Diceros bicornis minor: one gene and its partner. The protein of the gene in region 2 interacts with the protein of the main gene of each other region in a biochemical or structural test. Links are inferred from orthologs where the notes say so. Each region holds a gene or a part of one and is shown on either strand. Other genes may lie near its edges.

Region 1 (10,425 bases), on a different chromosome or scaffold from region 2:
TGGGAAGCCCTCCACTACTTCCCCTACTTCCCTAGGTGCTGATGGAAGGTCTCACGTCTGGGGTATCCCACAATATCATTCCCCACCCTCTTATGCAATCACTCGTGACCTCGCAGGGGTCATGCACTGCCTTCCTAGAACCTGTATCTCATGCAGTTCCTAAGGGCTCCTGCACAGAACGGGTGAGCAGCAAGCATGGGCTAAACGGAACTTGCATTGCTCTTCGGGGACCCACTGTTATCTGCAGGGCCTGTCTAAGGGCTCTGAAAACTGCAATGCCTTCTAGCAAAGAGCCGCAGGAGGCCACACGAGACTACCACAGATGGACAGCCATTACCAGCCAGATAAAGCTGTGAGCAGCAGTGACAGTGCTTTCAGCCTGGGGACTGAAGGGAGAGATGCTTCATCACATGGAAATAATCCCAGGTCGATATAAATCACAATCGACTTTGTTTTCAGAGTCAAACAGCGATAGATTCTGACCAACCATGTCAGCTGTCATCCCTACTCACTCAGATAGGGCTTCTCCTACATAGGGGGCCTGGTCCCTAAGCTAGGGTGAGGCTCATGCGGTTTCAGCGGCAGCATCTTCTGCAAAGGGGCTTCTTCTCCTGGGGCATCTCCTCTACCAGGGCCCATTCACAATGACGCTGGTCTGTACGCGGAGCCTTTCTGGAGCAGAAGTTGCACCACCCCACTCCACCCTGACCAGTCCCAGTCTCAGGCCCCTTGTCCGCAGGCAGCTGCCCAGTGCCCACTCTGGCCTTTGGAAAGACTCTCTGCCCCTGTCTCTCAGCCTCGTGAGTGTTCCTTTGGGGATGAAGTCTCAGCCCCTTTGACGATACACACACACCCCCACACAGAATCCTGAGGCTCTGTCCCCACAATGCTCTCCGATTAGGCTACTGCACAGCTATAATCGTGTGTCCACAGTCAGAGGCTGGCAGAACAAGCACACAGCAGACACGAGTCCCAGGGATAACTCCGGGGGTGTTGCTTCCCTCAGATTCCTGACCCCTTTTGGAACAGGGGCAGGTAAGGTCCAGAACATTCCTGGGAGCTTACCGAGGCCCAGCAGGGGAAATGGGCTTGCCAGGAACTGACTGGGCAAGTCAGGGGCAGAGCCAGGCCAAGCGCTCAGCAATCTGGGTGTGAAAATGTAAACTTTCTGGGCCCTACCCAAGGCTGATGAATGGAAACAAAGTGTCCGTTGCTCGGGCTGGCCACAGATCCAGCCCCCAGAGAGACTCAGTGTGGCTCAGGCTCAGGCCTACACCAGACACCTCTCTCCCCAGGAGTACCTGGGGGCCAAGTGCCAGGGCTCTCAGCACAGGGGCTTCATCTTAGAGACAGACTCAGAGGTGTTGATTGGCAGCAGCAGCAGAAACAGCTCCCGCCCAGCTCCCAGCAGGCCTAGGTGCTTTTCTCCTCCCATCGGGCTTCGGGCACTCACAGCTGGTCAAGTGGATACTTGCTCAGGACCATCTAGGCCTAGGAGGGTCAGGTCAATTCCATCCTGTGTGGCCACCAGTTGAGCTGCCCTCCCGCAGGACCGCCCTGCTCCCCACGCCCCACTTAGAAGGGCAGCCGAGCACGTGCAGCTTCGGTGGGTGTGGGTCTGGGAGACCCTGCTTCTCTTCCGGCCACCTCAGGTCTGGGGCCAATCTGTGCCCAATCCCTGCCAGAGAAGGAAACTTGCATCCAGGCTGTAAGCCCCAGGAGCCCCACTGTCCTGGGAGAGGCCACAACCTGCTCAACTCCCAGACACTTCTGCGTTCTCATCTGCGTTCTACCCACCCTTCTCTCTCAGGGGGTTCTGACATGGGCTTTTCTCAGCAGGGCCTCCCCCTGGCCACCCGGACTGGGGAAGATGGTCGTCTCAAGGAGGAGGTGTGGACAAATTAATACTGGTGCATGAACATGTGCAGGCATTTCCTAGGAATTCCCTGGGATGCGTGAGGGTCTGTGCTGAGGGGCCAGAGCTGCTGCTTCAGAAGACCTCCACTGCTGGCTTGGCTGGGTAGCAAGAGACCCCCCCCCATCACCCCAACATCCCATCACCTCCCAGCGTGACTGCCACAGCATTTGAAAGAGCATGGAGCCCAGAGTTGGGAGGTCTGGGATCAAGTCCCAGATCTGTCTCTCATGGCTGTGTGACTTTGGGCAAGATATTCAGGTTCTCTGGGCCTCCAGTTCCTTATATGTTACAAAAGACTTGTTACATTTCTCATATCAAGGCGATACAGAGATGCTTCAAACTCCTCAAGCCATAAGAACTGTCTTATTCATTTCTGTATCCCCAGTGGGCCTGGCGCACAGTAGGTGTTCAGTTAAAGTTGAATGCATACAAACATGACTATAAGGAGCCTTATTTATAAGTATCTTTTTTAAAATACATGAGCTACCACTTATTCCAACAGGCTTATAAGCCCCCAGCAAAATGACAACATTAGCAGGAAGCAAGGGCTGTTGTGGATGCACCCATGAAGGTGATTTCTCCTTTTTTTACTAAACATTTTAAGAAATTGTTCTTTCAAGGCAGAACCAGAGCAGGAACATCACTGATAAACATGCTGTCGCAGAGATCAGACCCTGAACCCTGAGTCTGAAGCCAACCACGATAGCTCTGGACCACCTTTGGGAAACCATTAACGGACGGTTTCAAGCCCCAAGGAGGACAGGACCACATCTGACTGAAGCTCTTTGTGGCCTTGCCCCCACTCTGGCTGTGAACTCTGAGCCAGGCAGGTGGAAGGCAGTGTGGTCAGGTGGAGAGGGCTTAGAGTCTGCCAGAAACAGGTTTAAATCCCTCCTCTGCCACTTACTAGTTGTTTCAATGGTGTACCTTTTGAGCCTTAACATTTCCATCTCTGAAATGGGTTCAATAAGGCGTATGAAATGATTAAAAGTAGGTAAAGTGCCTGGCCCAGTGGCTGCAGGATGGCAGGTGGTCCCCAGGAAAGGTCTGTGAGTTCTTGGAGCACCCAGTGACCCCTGCTTTCCCAGCTGTAGCAGGGAGCTAAGCCTGAGGGGCCAGGAGGTCTGCATTTGTGCCCACATCTGCATGGCTTAGCCAGGAGCCTGGGACAGCCGGACAACTCGAGGCTCAGGACAGACTCTCAGGGCTGGGCTGGGCTGGATTCCAGAGCCAGGCGGTGGTGGAGCTGGCCTGGGGATGAAATGTCATGATGAATTCCTGTTCCGGGAGCCGCCAGATCCACAGTCCCAGGCGCCGCCTCAAATGGGGATCTCCAAGAGGATTCCTCCCCACTTCCCCCAGGTCCCCTCGTGTACACACACAGCCCCAGGCCTGCTCCTGGCCGGTGGACAGCAGGCCCTCTTCACTCGAGCGCGGGCCCCGAGGCCCGGGCTGCGCTGGCAGGTCCCCGCGGTGCGAGCCCCAGGCCCCCGTTCCGGGCCGCCGCGCTGACTCACCCCCGCTCGCTGGTCCCGGCTGCGCGAGGGCCGCCTGGCCGCCGGCGGGAGCCCCGAAGCCCTCGTCATTCTCTATGCCCGCGATCTCGCTCTCCTGCTGGGCCAGGAAGGCGGCCGCCGGGTCCTCCTCGGCCGCCTCGGGGGCCCCGCTCTCCGACGACGAGAAGAAGCCAAAGTCATCAGCCATTTTCCCCGCGTCTCTGCCGAGGCGTGCGCCTGGCGCTCGGCTCTGCCCGGCGCGTGCCCGGCGGCCGCGACACTGTCACCCGAGCCGCCCGGGGAGCCGGCCTCGCGGGGACGGGCTCGGCGCGGCGGCCCGCACTGCCTCTCCGCCACCGGCCCGGCTCGCCTGTCACTGCGGCTGCCGGCGGGAGGAGCCGGGACGGGAATGCGGTGATGTCACCGGCCGAGGGAGGGGCCCGCAGGCCGGCCGGAGGTCGCTCGCGGCGGCCACAGGAGGGCGGCAGCAGGCCGGCGGCCCAGCCCGAGGGGCGCGGAGGCCGCGCAGCGCTCCCCGCTCCCTGCCGGCGGCGCCCGACCCCGGGGCACCGGCGCCGGGGACAGCTCCGGCCGCTCTAGAGGGAAGCGGGCTGGACCAGGTGGCCAGAATGGGCACCGGGCCACGGCGCGCGGGCAGCCCGGCCTCGGGCGCACTGAGGGCTGGTCGCTGCGGAGACCTTGCTCCTGATTTAGTCTGCAAAAGCTTCTTCACCCAAGCTGGGCGGATATTATAAATCCCATTATTAGGAGTTTCTTCCTCTGTAGGAAGAGGAAGACGAGGCTCGGAGAGGGAACACGAAGTCCCACGGCTTCCTTGCATCTTTCCTGCAAGTCCAGGGCCATTCCCCCTAGGCCGTGTTGCTTTAGTGCATTTTTGATGCGTTTCTGTCACTGGGGAGGCTTCAGCTCAGGCCGCCAGAGTTTGTATGACCTGACTGGGCCCCTACTTAGAGGCCGGCCCCTTAAATATGCCTTGAGTAAGAACCGGCCCGAGAAAGGCAGACCAAATTTGTCCAGGCAGCCTGCCCCTCCTCCACCCAGTGCCCTCAGTAAACAATCTGTGAACGCCCCCTCCCTGCCCTGGCCTCCCCAAGCTCAGGACAACAAAATTTAGTAAAACCCAGCCTTGGCCACCAGGAGGTTACCATCTATGAGACCAACAGATGGCAAATGGCCAGTCACAGCTCCCCGTGTGAGATGCTGACATGTAAATACAGGGTACCGGGAGACCCCAGAACTACCACCAGATCTGGACTTAGGATTTTCTCTTTCTGATTTGAGGCTTGCAGGTCAACTATGAACTGGAAGAAAGAAAAGAAAGCTGCATGCCAAGCTGAGGGTAGTGGTTCCCTTAGGGCGTGGGGAGTGGAAGTAGAGAGTTGGAGTGAAGGGAAATTTCAGTTTTGCTCAGTAGTACTTTGATGTAGGTTTCACTCTTGTGATGACAATATAGTAATTTATTAGTAGCAGAAAACATAAAGAAAGAAATTTAAGGCCCTGCACAACCTGGTCCAGGCACACTGCTCCACCATCATCTCACACCTCTTCCTCATTTCTGAAACCACAGGCTTGGGTGCTAGAAAGACCTAAAAAGTTTCCTAGTACAAGAAACCAGCGTTAATGTGGCTAGTTTTGTGGAGACAGAAGGACTAGTGAACATGCTATGTGCTCATTGCGACCTCCGAGCGACAAGGGACATTCTTGTTTGATTCCCCTGGAGACTTTGGTCAGTAACTCAAGCAACACTGCACCGCGTGTACACATGCAAATCCCCCAGACACTCTTCCCAACTACTTCCTCCTTTCTTCATGCTCCTTCCTAATTTAGGCAACAGCAGAATTTAGCTCCCTGCTTAATTTATACAACTTACTGGTCCAGACTATTCTGCAGCCATGCTTGCTCTTGTACATTACTCTTACTCTCAAGCATTAATATTAAAAATTATCATTAAAGTTATATTTTGAACCACGTAGCACTTCTTTGTGTTGGAGATTCTCAGTTTCTTGACAGCTCTCTAAAAATCTTTGGAGATCTCTACACATGATTCTAGTTTTCTAATTCTCATTTAATTGTGAAACTCAGTAATGGTCAAAAGTCATCAATAAATAAAGTTGAGTAAAGATATGGGGCAATCTCACAGAATCTAAATTTCATTTTATGAAGTCTGAAGTGGAGAAATTTTTTCAGTGGAAAATCTCGAACATATATAAGAATAGAAAGAATGATATAATGCAACTCCACGTACCAGCCCCTGAACCTCAGTATTACCAATGTATAGTCAGTCTTGTTTCATCTATAGCCTTTATTCCTCCCCATACATTATATAATTTCATCTGTAAATAATTCACTGTTAACCTCTTTTTTAAAACTGAAGAGCTTTTTAAAAAAATTGTGGTAAAAAACATAAAATTTACCATCTTTACCATTTTTAAGTGTACAGTTCAGTAGGATTAAGTACATTCACATTGTTGTGCAACAGATGTCCAGAACTTTTTCATCTTGCAAAGTAGAAATTTTACACCCATTAAAGAACTCCTAATTTCCCCTTCCCCAAAGCTCCTGGCAACCATCAGTGTACTTTCTTTTTTTTTTTTTTTTAAAGATTTAATTAATTAATTTATTTCCCCCCAAAGCCCCAGTAGATAGTTGTATGTCATAGCTGCACATCCTTCCAGTTGCTGCATGTGGGACGCGGCCTCAGCATGGCCCAAGAAGCGGTGCGTCGGTGCGCGCCCGGGATCCGAACCCTGGCCGCCAGCAGCGGAGCGCTCCCACTCAACCACTAAGCCACGGGGCCGGCCCAGTGTACTTTCTATTAACATGAATATGACTACTTTAAATACCACACATAAGTGGATTCATACAGTATTTGTCTTTTTGTGACTCACTTATTTTACTCAGCATAATGTCCTCAAGGTTCACCATGTTCTGATAGATGTTGCAGCATGTGTCAGAATTTCCTTCCTCTTTAAGGCTGAATAATATCCCATTCTATGATATATATGCCACATTCTCTTTATCCATTCATCCGTCCATGGACATTTGGTTTGCTTCTACATCTCAGCTACTGTGAATAATGCTGCTATTAGCACAGTGCAAATATCTCTTTGAGATCATGCTTTCAGTTCTTTCAGATGTACACCCAGGAATGGAATTGCTGGATCATATGGTAATTCAATTTTTAATTTTTTGAAAAATCACCATACTGATTTCTATAGTGGCTGCACCATTTTACATTCCCACTAATAATCTCCTTTCTTTTGGGGTGGGGAGGGATTGAGTTGGTTGATTTTACTCTCAAGGTTTTTTTCCTCACTTCTTTTCAACTTTTTATTTTGACATAATTTCAGACTTACAGAAAATTGCAAATAATTGCCATATGCCTCTCACCCAGGTTCCTCAAATGATATCATTTCATCATATTGGCTTTATTCTTTCTTCTTCTCTCTTTTTCCTAAACCGTTGGAGAGTAAGTTGCAGATATGATGCCCTTTCATCCCTAAATATTTCACTGTGTGCTTTCCTAAAAATAAGACATTCATTTAGATAGCCACTATACAATTATCAAAATCAGGATATTAATATTGATTGAATATCATTATCTAATCTATATAACTTACTCAGATTTCACCAAATATTGCAATAATAGAGGAAAATAAAATCCCAGATTGTGTATCGCATTCAGTTATCATATCTGTTTGATCTCCTTCAATCTGGAACAGTTCCTCTCCTTCTTTGTCTTTCATGACATCGACGTCTTGAACATTACTAGCCAGTTTTCTCGTCTTTCAGTTTGAGTTGTCTTATGTTTCCTCACGGTTGGATTCAGGTCACACACTTGAGGCAGGAATAGCACAAATGTGATGCTGAGTTCTTAGTGCATCATATTGGGAGGCACATGATGTCAATTTGTCCTGTTATTAATGATGTTAACGTTGATCATTTGGTTAAGGTGGTGTCTATTAGGGCCCGTCCCGTGGCTTAGCGGTTAAGTGCGCACGCTCTGCTGCTGGCGGCCCAGGTTCGGATCCCGGGCGCACACCAACGCACCGCTTCTCCAGCCATGCTGAGGCCGTGTCCCATATACAGCAACTAGAAGGATGTGCAGCTATGACATACAACTGTCTACTGGGGCTTTGGGGGAAAAAATAAATAAATAAATAAAATTAAAAAAAAAAGGTGGTGTCTGTCAGGTTTAAATTACTACTTTTCGCCTTTCTAATTAATAAATATCTTATGGAGAGGTACATTAAGACTACATTAATTTTATGTCACTCCTCAAACTTTCACCTATGCATTCATTATGGCATCTATTGATTTTTGCATGATTCAGGTATTATAATGATGGTTGTCAAATGGTAATTTTCTAATACCATCATTCTTTACACATTTATTAGTTGGTCTTCTAATATAAGGAAAATGTTTGTTTGTTTGTCTGCATGGATTCACGGACTCTTATTTTATCCAATGGATTGTAATGCTTTGCTATCATTATTTATTTTAGTGCTCAAATTGTCCAAGATAGGGTCAGTGGGAGTCCTTTCAAGCTGGCTCCTGTATTTTTGATATGTCCGCATCGTCTTTGAGCTCTGTCTTACTTTTTGGCACAACAAAATGTCCCATGCTGAAGAATAAGCCATTTCTACCTTTGAGTGGAAAACGAAGAAAGATCTGTGTGCCGGATGTGGTCATTGCTGTGGCTGTGTTTCTTATTCTCCTTCTCCTCCTCCATTTTTATCTTCAACTTCTTTTTTGCATAACCACAGAATTATCATAACATCAAAAAAAGTTTCTCCTCCAAATTCCTTAATGTCACCCATTATCTAGTCAGTATTCAAATTTCCCCAATTGTCCCATAAATATCTTTTTATTGTTGGTTTGCTCACTTAGGATTCAAATAAGGTCAACACATTGCATTTGGTTGATATGACTTCTAAATTCTTAAAAAATAATTTTTTTGTTATGGACAATATCAAGCACATACAAATGTAGAGATAAAAAAATTAATCTAATAATATATAATACAATACTGAAATTATAATTACAATAATATAATATAATATAATATACCCCAGTGTGCCCATCACCCAGCTTCAATGGTTATCAATATTTGGCCAAACTTGTTTCATCTGCACCCCACCACTGTCCTGTGCTTTAATTCTTTTAAAGCAAATCCCACACACTATATCAATTCATCCATAAATACTTCACAAAAATAGGACTTCTTACCTTCTTTTAATATAACCACTATATAATTATCACAGGTAAAATTTTTTAACAATATCAGTATCAGTAAATATTCGGTCAGGATTCAAATTTTCATGAACGCCTTATAATTTTTTTTGCAGTTGGTTTGTTAGAATCAGGATCTAAACAACGTCTCCACATTGTGTTTATTTGTGTCTCTTAAGTCCTTTTGAAAAAATCAACTTTATGAGGTAAAATTTATCATCAGTAAAGCATGCCCTTTTTAAGTGTACAATTCCATGAGTTTTGACAAATGTGTACACCTGTGTAACTACCAGCACACTCAAGATATGAAACATATCCATTACCTTAAAAAGTTCTCTTGTGCCTCTTCTCAGTCAGCTCCCCCTACTGCACACAACCCCCAGCCCCACGCAACCACTACTTTCTGTTACTATCGGTTACTTTTTACATTTATTTATTTATTTTTTTTTTTGCTGAGCAAGATTAGCCCTGAGCTAACATCTGTGCCAATCTTCCTCCACTTTATACGTGGGTCATTGCCACAGTGTGGCTGACAAGTGATGTAGATTCACACCTGGGATCCGAACCCGCGAGCCCAGGCCCACCAAGCAAGGCGTGGCAAACTTAACCACTATGCCAGGGGGCCGGTCTCCTCAGGTTACTTTTTGTTAATTCATTCATGGTGTTGCATGTATCAGTGTTTTATTGCTATGTAGAATTCTGTAATATGAATATAACGTACATTGTGTATCTTTTCACCGGTTGATAGACATTAGAAGTATTTCCAAATTTTTGCTGTGTTGCCTAAAGCCATTGTGCAAGTTCACATACGATCTTTGTATGGACGTGTTTTCCTTTCTCTTGGTAAACATCTAGGAGTGAAGTTGCTGGGTTGTATGGAAAGTGTATGTTTAACTTTATAAGGAACAGCCAAAGTGTTTTCCAAAGTGGTTGCACCATTTTACATTCCTACCAGTAAAATGTGACAGTTCCTGTTGCTCCACATCCCCACCAACACTTGGTCTTTTAAATTTTAGCCTTCCTATGTGTGCAGTGGTATCTCATTATGGTTTTAATTAGTACTTCCCTGATAACTAATAATGTTGAGAATTGTTTCATGTTCTTATTATCCATTTGCATATCCTCTCTTACGAGGTGTCTGCTCAAATCTTTTGTCCATTTTATTTATTTATTTTTTGCGAGGAAGATCAGCTCTGAGCTAAGATCCATGCCAATCCTCCTCTTTTTGCTGAGGAAGATTGGCCCTGGGCTAACATCCGTGCCCATCTTCCTCTACTTTATGTGGGACGCTGCCACAGCACGGCCTGACAAGTGGTGCTTTGGTGCGTGCCCGGGATCTGAACCCGTGCCACCAGCAGTGGAGCATGCGCACTTAACCACTACGCCACGGGGTCGGCCCCTGTCCATTTTATTATTGGATCATTTTATTATTGTTGAGTTATAAGAATTGCTTGTATATTCTAGATTCAAATCCTTCAACAGATATATGTTTTGTGAATATTTTTCCCAATCTATGCTTTGCATGTTCATTTTTGTAACTGTATCTTTTAGAGACCAGAAGTTTTTAATTTTTATGAAGTCCAATTTATCAATTTTTTTTCTTTTATGGTTCATGCTTTTTGTGACCTATCTTTAAATATCTTTTCCTACATCAAGGTTATACAATTTTTCCTCTGTTTTCTTTTAGAAGTTTTATAGTTTTAGCTTTTATGCTTAGGTCTATGATCTTTTTGAAGATAGTTTTTATGTATGGTGTGA
Region 2 (10,458 bases):
ATTATAATTCGTAAGTTTGTTGCAGGAACTGAGAGGGGTGGCTTGTGTGAGGCCTTCACCGCTTATACATAGTAAGTGCGGTAAATGTTGGCTATTCTCACTGGTATTAGTGGGAGGAAACCAAAAGAGTACAAAACCACAGACCCAAAGAAAGCTTAGGGTCCTTCCTACATTTTCAATACCAACTAAGAGGGCAAACAGGGGACGGGGGGTGCAGTACCTGTTATCTTAGAAGCCATTCCTGTGCAGCCAGGGTCAAGAACCACTGATCCCTCTGGTCCAAGCCGAAAATTTTTCAGCTGGTGAATCGAAGGCTGAGCATCTGATGAAGAGCATGAGCAAGATGGTGGAAAGAGCCCCTGACTTAAACATGGAGAAGAGGACATGGCCATCCGATTTTGAAGCCCTGACTTCTCTGTTGACTTGCTGTGTGACCTTAGACAAGTCACTTGGCCTCTCGGAGCCTAAGCTATTAAATAGGATAATGAAAAGAAATCACCTAACATGTTCCTAGTGCCCAGCAGGCCCTCAATAAATATGTTTCTGTCTCCTCCTCTCTAGAACCTGAGTCTCCTGGCTCTTCCCAGCACATGATTCATTAGGATCTTGTACTCTGTTGTGGGCTCCACCCAAAGAGACTGTGGCTCTCTAAGGGCTGCTCTGTGTGTCCAGAGCCCCATCCTCTGATCCCAGCATTCACCTGCCACCGAGCAGGGCTGCTAAAACCTCGGTGTGCACAGCACGACCCGGGGTCTGGTTGAAATGCAGGCTCTGAGTGAGTAGGCCCGGCACTGCTGACAGCTCCCACGACGCCAGAGCTGCAGGTCCTTCCTCCGTCCTCCCCACAGAGGAGCCCCACAGTGGCCAGTCCACCTCCCTGCTGACTCAAGAGCCCCTGTGGGGCTGGTCTCTTGATCTTCCTCATCTCTGTGTCCCCTCCACGGTCTATGCTCTCTAAATGAATGCCAAAAAAATAAACAGACCACAGAAAAAACCATTTCCAGCTAAGGAAATACAGACAGGGATTTTGTTTGCAAGTGGCAGCCCTCCTGGTTCATTCCAGAATTGCCGTCTTGGCCGACATGAGGACAGTGTGGTGGCAGGGGCCCAAGATCTGAATCCCGACCCTTCCACTCACCAACCAGTGGTCCTGCACAAGTTACCAGCTCTCATCCATAAAAATACCCCGCCCCCATGCAGCCTCCATGATGGCCAAACAGGCTTTATAAACTGTAAAGTGCTCCAGGCAAGGTGTCATTATTACAGCATCTTTTTTGAGGGCGAGAACTACTGTTCATCTCCCTAGAGCCTGAAGGTTGCTTGTGACGGGCAGGGTAGGGGACACACCAGGGGTCTGGTTGGAGATGGGGCTTGTGGTAGGCGGGTCTGGGGTCCCCACTCTGGCTGGAACAAGGGCCGTGTGAAGTGTGAGGATGATGCCAGGATTGTTGAGGAGGGAAGGCTTCCCAGAAGAGACTGGCAGGAGTGAGGAGACAAGCTGGTCTGAGGGCACAGGCAGCCGGGACACCGGCCTGAGCAGAAGGAAGGCAGAGAGATCCGAGTCCTTGCAGGGCACAGGCAGGGCTCCTGACCCAGGGTGCAGGAGACAAGGCTGCATCGGGAGGGAATGTGGCCACTAGGGAAAACGTCAGGTAACGACAGATGTCCCCTGTAGCCCAGGGCTGAGCGACACCCAGGCCAGGGCTTCCCGGATGGAACTGAGCAGTCACTTCCTCCCCTCGACCAGCCAGTTCCCATAACACAAGCCTCAGGTGTGGGGCACACACGCCAGAACCAGACACGTTGCCCTCAGGGGGGGGGGGCGCAGTCCTGGGGTGAGGGCTCCAACCTCCTGGTAATTATCCCGTTACCTAGGGACACTCCTGGCCCTTGACTGGAGTTAGTCAGAGGCTGCACGATTACCCACACCTGTGCCTTCTTAGGTCTCAGCTCCCCAATCACGTTACAGCAATCATCATTGAAATAGTGCTCCACAGTTTACAAAATGCCTTCACGTCTATTATTTAATTCCCACAATAAACCTGCCAGGTGAGTATTATCTTTATTTTACAATAAGGAAACTGAGGCTTAGAAAGGTTAGACAGGGCCGGCCCCTGTGGCTTAGCGGGTAAGTGCATGCGCTCCGCTGCTGGCGGCCCGGGTTGGGCTCCCGGGCCTGCACCGACGCACCGCTTCTCCGGCCATGCTGAGGCCGCGTCCCACATACAGCAACTAGAAGGATGTGCAACTATGACATACAACTATCTACTGGGGCTTTGGGGGAAAAACATAAATAAAATAAAATTATAAAAAAAAAAAAAGGTTAGACAATTTGCCTGAGGCTACTCAGCCTATCCACGTGCCCAGCTGTAAAACTCACCAACCTCTTCCAACTCCAATGCCAGTGCTCTGCCCAACACTCAGAGGCAACACAAGACAGACAGTGGTTAAAGGTTGGGACCACTTCCAGCTGTGTGACCTTGGGCAAGTCACTTAACCTCTCTGTGCCTCTAGTTTCTTAAAGTAAAATGTGGCTGACACCCACCTCATCAGTCCTTGTGGAGATTAAAGAAGGTAAAACAATAAAGTAATTAGAACAGTGCCAAACCTAATAATTAGTTACAATTATCATTCTACCTTGGCTGACTCTCATGGTCTCTTACCTCATTAAAATTTTCTAACTCATTTTTATATCTTATAATACATTTGATAGATAGTCATTAAACTAAATTTTTGCAGGTTGACTAAAGCTAAGTTTCAGGATGGTTCTCTTTTCTTTTTCTTCACTCTTCTACCCTCTAACAGTGTCAACAATAGAAACACTGTCTTTTCCTGATCCAGTTTACCTCCTCACCCCCCCCACACACAAGCCACTAGATCAAATCTGGCCAATTACAAGTGTCCCACAGAAAGCAAAACACTGGAAAACACTGACCTAGACTCTCCTTGTTCAGCTATCCCTGGATAGTGAGGGGATATGCCAGTCATGAGTGGAAACTGTCACAAACCTAATTTCCATCACTACAATGGGTCAAAGCTTTATGTGTATTTCTCTATTGCTCCAGTTTTTACTTATTTGAGACTCTAGAAGGAATGGGTTATAAAATAACACCTATTTATTTTTCTTTTCCATTAAAAAAAGAAGAACATTCACACTGTTTTCTGGAGCAAGAAGCCTCGTGTGACCAGGCAGCTAGTCGAGGCAGTAACACCCGTGGTGGACAGGCAGAAGGAAAGCTTCCTTCTTTTCAGTGGTCCAGGCCACAAAGCCAGAGAATAAGCCTCAAACCCAGCTGGACCCTGGGAGGCAGAAGTGAAAGGCCATCTCTCCCATCCTGCCTGGAGTAGGATGATCCAGGGAGAGAACACTCCCCACTTTACATCACCCAGACACCCTTGTAACCAGATGGGCCACAGGCACCTGGAAAGAAGAGGATGAAGTTCCCTGGGGGTGAAAAGCTTTATCCTCCGTAAGCTCCATATTTAGAACACTCGGGTCCTCACAGTCTTTCCTATCCAAAACCCCAAAGCCCTTCCCTCACGTGGTACTGTGTTTGGGGGAAGAAGGAGAACGCAGCAGGGGAACCAGCGCTGGCAGTGGTGGCCCAGCAGGGTCTCCAAAGGTCCCACTCTGAGAGCGAGAGCAGAGAACGAGCCTGCCCCCATGACCTGGGCACTAGAATTAAGAGAAGTGCTATGCCATTTAAAATGAACTTTGCATACAAAGAGCTGATGAACACCAGAAACATGTCAGCTTTATTCAGTCAAATCAATACACCAGGCATTAAAACTCTGAGGTAAAAATGGATTGTGGCTTTTTGTTGATGACACTGAGGAATTTTGGCCCCCAGCCCTGGCTGGACAAACAGGGCAGTCTGCCTATTAGCCGTCAGGCATATCTTGGGGGATGAAACCAAAACCCCAAGTTGGGGCTCCCGGCACCTCTGGGCAGCCCGTCCTGACCAGTGGCGGACGGTGGGGCCAAGCGCGTCAATTCCTGCCCCTGGCCGGCCCCCTCCTCCAGTCCCCAGTCATTTTCCAAGCTCGTCCACACTTCGCATTCCTACATTCCTTCTCACCGCTCAGACCCCTTTGGCCCGGCCCGGGGAGGCCGACAGCTGGGATGCTGTGTGCCAAGCAAGAGGCACCGGGAAGGCGGTGCTCGGGGTGGGGGGATGCCAGTGCAACCGAGAAGCGATCGCGAGGGGAGAAAAGGGCTCCCCATCCTTCACATCCCCAAACCAGCGCCCCACTCTCCGCCGCCACACTTGCGTCTCCGAGCGGCCCCCCAGTACGCTTCCCCTTCCATTCGGTCCCTTTTCGGTGCCTTCCCCTCTCACCTGCCCTGTGCCGCCGGGACCAGCCACCCTGGGCCGGGCCGCCCGGATCGTGCCGTTCCTCGGGGCCGCCCTGCCCTTTTCCCCAGACCAGCTGGGATGCCCGGGTCCCCGACCTTCCCGGGATCGCCTCGACCTGCGCGCCAGAGGCTCCCTCTCTCGGCCCCCCTGCCCCGTCCTCCCTTGGGCCTGCAAGACCCTTACTCCCTTCAAAGCCCCTCCCGGACGCTGCATCTCTCGGGGTGCCCTAGCCGTGCAAGCCCCGCGGTCCCCCGGTCCTCACCTGAGTCCGCTCGAAGCTCTCCCGTTCGGCCGCCTCCACCCCCGCGCCCGCCCCGCGCCGACTCAGCACCTTGGGCAGGGGGTTGGGCACCTGCTTCATGGAACTGGCCATCCGGTCCATGTCGCCGCGCGGATCCGAGTCGCGGCCCTCGGCCGCCCCGGGATCCCCACGGAGCCGCCCGGCCCGCCCCACCCGCTGGGATCCGGCGCTAACGGGACGGCCCCTGCCTCCCATTGGCTGGGAGCGCCGCTACTCTCCCTAGGCCCCGCCCCTCCCAGAGACGCCCCCGCCCCCGCCCCGCCCCGCCCCGCCCCGCGGCGCGCTCCGCCCGGCTGGGCCCTCGGGACCGCGAGGCGCGCAGCGACCGGCCCGGAGGCCTGTCCATCACCGGTCCGCGGCCCCCTGCGGGGGTGGGGCCTAGGGCTGCCCTGACCTGCCCTCGCCGCCCCTGCCACCGCGCCCGCCCGCGCCCGGCGCTTCCCCGCGAGCCACGCGCTGCTGCTGCCGGGGGCGCTGCGAGGTCCCGGCGCGGTGCGCGAGGGTCACGCTGGCCGCGGAGTCGGGCCTCCCGCGGGGGACCCGGACCCGCCCGGGAATGGCCTGTCTACGCTTTTCGGGTCGGGGACGAGAGAGGGCGGGATGGACCGGCTCGGCGGCCGGAGCCCCGGGAAGCGCTGCGCCCAGGCCCGGCTCCCGTAGGAAGGGCCAGCGTCTGCCCGACCTGGCGCCGTGGGTGGCGGCCCCCTACCCAGCTCACCTGCCTCCTCCCTCAGCCTGACCCTGCGCTGAGTCCCTGTCCATCCGCTTTGTAATCCTCACACACCCGGGAGCGCTGGGCCGGGTCAGTGGGAACCTCCTGGCATCTTCTTTCCAAACCCTACATCATCTTGACCCGGCCAGAACGTGTTCGTTGGTGGAAACCCCTGTGGATACTTTGTTTATCCACGGCTCCGGGCTACCCCTCCCATCCTGCTCAGATGTCAGCTGGAGGGAAGTGTGATCCCTAGCGGAGATGCTGAAGAAAGTTAGACGTTTTCCATTAAATTTTCATGTTAAAAAAATGCTTTGAAACTCAAAGAAAGGCATTAAAAATATTTAAACTAAGAGCTTTTTATAAAAGTTCACACATTCAACACAGAAGTGAAAGAGGGGGCGGGCCTTTGCAGGCGCTACGGAGCTACTGCAGGCTTTTGCACAGACCTGCGCTTTGCCGGGCTGGCATTGTGTGGACGGCATTGCGGGGCGAAAGGGCAGGGAGGGACTCTTCGGGGAGACTCCAGCAGTACGTGAGAGACCGAGAGGGCCTACCCCGGAATGGAGAGGAGAAAGTTTCCTCCTGTGGGCGGTTCTGTGAGGAGGCCCAGACAAAGGGAAATAGGCGGAGGGAGGAGGCAGCGGTGGGGCCGGAACTTCTGGAGAGGAAGGATTGAAGGGTGGCAATGTGATGGAGGGGAAATTGCCTTGAGACTTCATTTGCATAGCAAGCACACTGGTTTCACCATTACTGGAACTGAGGGCCGCGTTTCGGGGTGTTTAGGGGCTGTGATGTTGTATGAGTCGGAGCAGCAGCGGGGGAGGGATTGCACCCTGGAAGGGCTAATTGAATTGAGAAAGGAACTATGTGCAAAATTGTAACCTGGAATAAGGGGATCAGCCAGGGAGGGTGAAGCACCCGGGGATAGAACAGTGGGAAGCTGTTACCAGCCCTAGCCCTGAAGGGACACGGGGAGGGCGCTTACCGGAACCAGGTGCGAGCTCTAGTCTTGGGAGAGGAGGCACCCGACAAGAGCCGTGGCTTTAGGTAGAAACCCAGTCACTGGAAGAGCCCAATCTCTCTCTATCCCTCCCGTCCTCTGATTTCCTACTAGTGCCTCCCATTGGCCGAACCCAGGGGGAAGGAGGGCAAGGACGATCCGTTAGTACTACCCCCACCCCTCCTTCCAGGCACAGAGCCGAGTGGAGGCTGGATCTGGAGCAGCCCTTGGAAGTTCCCAGCCCAGGAGCTCACAGGACTATACCTACAGGGAAAACAGACAGGGTTCATCATAATATTACCTCTGTGTGCCCATTCTTAGTCCTGCCCCCACCTCATGCTCTGGACCCAACTAAAGAGTGATTTATGATCCTTTGCCCAGAGTTTATAGCTGCAATAAACAGGGGCCCTTTAAACAGGGATTAAGGGATCAGCCTACTCCTTATTAGAATAAACCCCAGTAGGAATCAGGAATTTGTGGTTTGGAGACACCCTGTGGAGAAAGACTCAAGCTAGTTACCTCTGTGAAACTCAGCAATAAAGAAAAATAAGGATTTCTCACTTGCTGCAGCAGCAAAACCCTTTGCCAAGGGTTGAGAGAAACCCTCCTCCAGGATGTAAACTACAGGACTCTGCTAGCTTCTTTCAGCTCTTACATCTCTCCCAGCAATTTAGGGACCATTTGTCTTATGCCTTCTCAGGATGCCCGGTTTTCAGACGTGGAATCCTGATCTCTGGGAAACCCACAGAGACAGACCCACAGATATATAGTCAAGTGATTTTCCACAAAGGTGCAGGCAATGCAATGGAAGAAAGATAATCTTTTCAGCAAATGGTGCTAGAACAATTGGATATTCATGTGCCAAAAAAAAAAAAGAACCTCAATCTTTTCCTCACACCATATACAAAAACTAACTGAAAATGGATCATAGACCAAAGTGTAAAAACTAATACTATAAAACTTATAAGAGAAAATCTTAGTGACCTTGGGTTTGGGAAAGGTTTCTCAAATACAACACCCAAAGCATGAAGTATAAAAGAGGGAAAAATCAATAAATAGGACTTCTCTTTGCTCTTCGAAAGAATGCTATGAAAATGAAAAGGAAGGCACAGACTGGGAAAGATATTTCCAAAACATTCATCCAAAAAAGGACTTGTATTTAGATTATGCCAGGTATACATTTTTTAAAATTATTCTATTGAGGTCATATTGGTTTATAACATTGTGTAATTTCAGGTGTACATTATTATATATCAGTCTCTGTATAGACTGCATCGTGCTCACCACCAAGAGTCTAGTTTTTATCTGTCACCATACATGTGTGCCCCTTTACCCCTTTTGCCCACCACCCTACCCTCTTCCCCTCTGGTAACCACTAATCTGTTCTCTTTATCCATGTGTTTATCTTCCACATATGATTGAAATCATATGGTATTTGTCTTTCTCTGCCTGGCTTATTTCACTTAACATAATACCCTCATGGTCCATCCATGTTGTTGCAAATGAGACCGTTTGGTCTTTTTTTATGGCTGAGTAGTATTCCATTGTATATATATACCACATCTTCTGTATCCATTTAACAGTTGATAGGCACTTGGGTTGCTTCCACATCTTGGCTGTTGTGAATAACACTGCAATGAACATAGAGCTGCATGGATCTCTTTGTATTGTTGATTTCATGTTCTTTGAATAAATACCCAGTAGTGGGATACCTGGATCATATGGTATTTCTATTTTTAACTTTTTGAGAAATCTCCATACTGTTTTCCATAGTGGCAGCACCAGTTTGCATTCCCACCAGCAGTGTATGAGGGTTCTCTTTTCTCCACACCCTCTCCAATGTTTGTTATTTCTTGTCTTGTTAGTTATAGCCATTCTGTTGGGTATGAGGTGTTATCTCATTGTAGTTTTGATTTGCATTTCCCTAATAATTAGTGATGTTGAACATCTTTTCACGTGCCTATTGGCCATCTGTGTATCTTCTTTGGAAAAATGTCTGTTCATATCCTCTGCCCGTTTTTTGATCAGGTTGTTTTGTTGTTGTTGTAGTTGAGTTGTATGAGTTCTTTATATATTTTGGAAATTAACCCCTTGTCGGATATATGATTTGTAAATATTTTCTCCCAGTTGGTGGGTTGTCTTTTCATTTTGTTCATGGTTTCCTTTGTCTTGCAGAAGCTTTTTAGTCTGATGTAGTCCTATTTGTTTATTTTTTCCTTTGTTTCCCTTGCCTGAGTAGATGTGGTTTCAAAAATATGCTGCTGAGACCAATGTCAAAGAGTATACTGCCTACATTTTCTTCTAGAAGTTTTATGGTTTCAGCTCTTACATTCAAGTCTTTAATCCATTTTGAGTTGATTTTTGTGTATGGTGTAAGGTAATAGTCTACTTTCATTCTTTTGCATGTGGCTGTCCAGTTTTCCCAACACCATTTATTGAAGAGACTTTCCCTTCTCCATTGTATGTTCTTGACTCCTTTGTCGAAAAGTAGCTGTCCATAGACTTGTGGTTTTAGTTCTATTCCATTGATCTGTGTGTCTGTTTTTGTGCCAGTACCATGCTGTTTTGATTACTATAGCTTTGTAGTATTTGAAGTCAGGGATTGTGATGCCTCCAGCTATGTTCTTTTTTCTCAGGATTGCTTTGGCTATTTGGGATCTTTTGTTGTTCCATATAAATTTTAGGATGCTTTGTTCTATTTACGTGAAGAATGTCATTAGGATTCTGACTGGGATTGCATTGAATTTGTAGATTGCTTTAGGTAATACGGACATTTTAATGATGTTTACTCTTCCAATCCATGAGCATGGAATATCTTTTCATTTCTTTATGTCTTCTTCAATTTCTTTCAATAGTGTCTTATAGTTATCATGTATAGGTCTTTCACCTTCCTGATTAAAGTTATTCATAGATATTTTATTCTTTTTGTTGTGATTGTAAAAGGGATTGTATTCTTAACTTCTCTTTCTACTAGTTCATTATTAGTGTATAGAAGTGCAACTTATTTTTGTAGGCTGATTTTGTACCCTGCAACTTTGCTATAGTTGTTGCTTATTTCTAATAGTTTTCTGGTGGATTCTTTAGGGTTTTCTATGTATAGAAACATGCTATCTGCAAACAGTGAGAGTTTCACTTCTTCCTTTCCAATTTGCATTCCTTTTATTTCTTTTTCTTGCGTAATTGCTCTGGCCAAAACGTCCAGTACTACGTTGAATAAGAGTGGTGAGAGTAGGCACCCTTGTCTTGTTCCTGTTCTCAGAGGGATGGCTTTCAGTTTTTCCCCATTGAGTATGATGTTGGCTGTGGGTTTGTCATATATGGCCTTTATTGTGTTGAGGTACTTTCCTTCTAGTCCCATTTTATTGACAGTTTTTATCATAAATGGATATTGGATCTTGTCAGATGCTTTCTCTGCATCTATTGAGATGATCATATGGTTTTTATTCCTTGTTTTGTTAATGTGGTGTATCACATTGATTGATTTGTGGATGTTGAACCATCCCTTCATCCCTGGTATAAATCCACTTGATCATGGTATATGATCCTTTTAATGTGTTGCTGTATTCGATTTGTCAATATTTTGTTGAGGATTTTTGCATCTATGTTCATCAATGATATTGGCCTGTAATTTTCCTTCTTTGTGTTGTCCTTGTCTGGTTTTGGTATCAGAGTAATGTTGGCCGAATAGAATGAGTTAGGAAGCATTCTGTCTTCTTCAATTTTTTGGAATAGTTTGAGAAGGATAGGTATTAAATCTTCTTTGAATGTTTGGTAGAATTCTCCAGAGAAGCCATCTGGTCCTGAACTTTTGTTTTTCGGAGGGTTTTTACTGTTTCTATCTCTTTACTTGTGATTGGTCTATTCAGAATCTCTATTTCTTTTTTTTTTTTTTTTTTTTTAAATTTTTTTTTTTTTTTGTGAGGAGATCAGCCCTGAGCTAACATCCGCCAATTCTCCTCTTTGTTTGCTGAGGAAGACGGCCCTGGGCTAACATCGGTGCCTATCTTCCTCCACTTTATATGGGACGCCGCCACAGCATGGCTTACCAAGCAGTGCGTCGGTGCACGCCCGGGATCCGAACCAG

What was found. The genes of interacting proteins can lie anywhere in the genome.
Region 1: the proteins of HIP1 (region 2) and CLTB form a complex in vitro, tested with the Homo sapiens proteins (2 studies listed by BioGRID, with this or other methods). The link is inferred for Diceros bicornis minor from reciprocal best matches to the Homo sapiens genes HIP1 and CLTB.

What each region holds. Positions count from the first base shown.
Region 1 is NC_080740.1:89,660,884-89,671,308, forward strand, and holds the start of CLTB (clathrin light chain B), read right to left. Parts: upstream 3,760-10,425; 5' UTR 3,623-3,759; coding exon 3,436-3,622; intron 1-3,435. UniProt on the Homo sapiens protein: Clathrin is the major protein of the polyhedral coat of coated pits and vesicles.
Region 2 is NC_080765.1:3,062,262-3,072,719, forward strand, and holds the start of HIP1 (huntingtin-interacting protein 1), read right to left. Parts: upstream 4,776-10,458; 5' UTR 4,741-4,775; coding exon 4,621-4,740; intron 1-4,620. UniProt on the Homo sapiens protein: Plays a role in clathrin-mediated endocytosis and trafficking. Involved in regulating AMPA receptor trafficking in the central nervous system in an NMDA-dependent manner. Regulates presynaptic nerve terminal activity.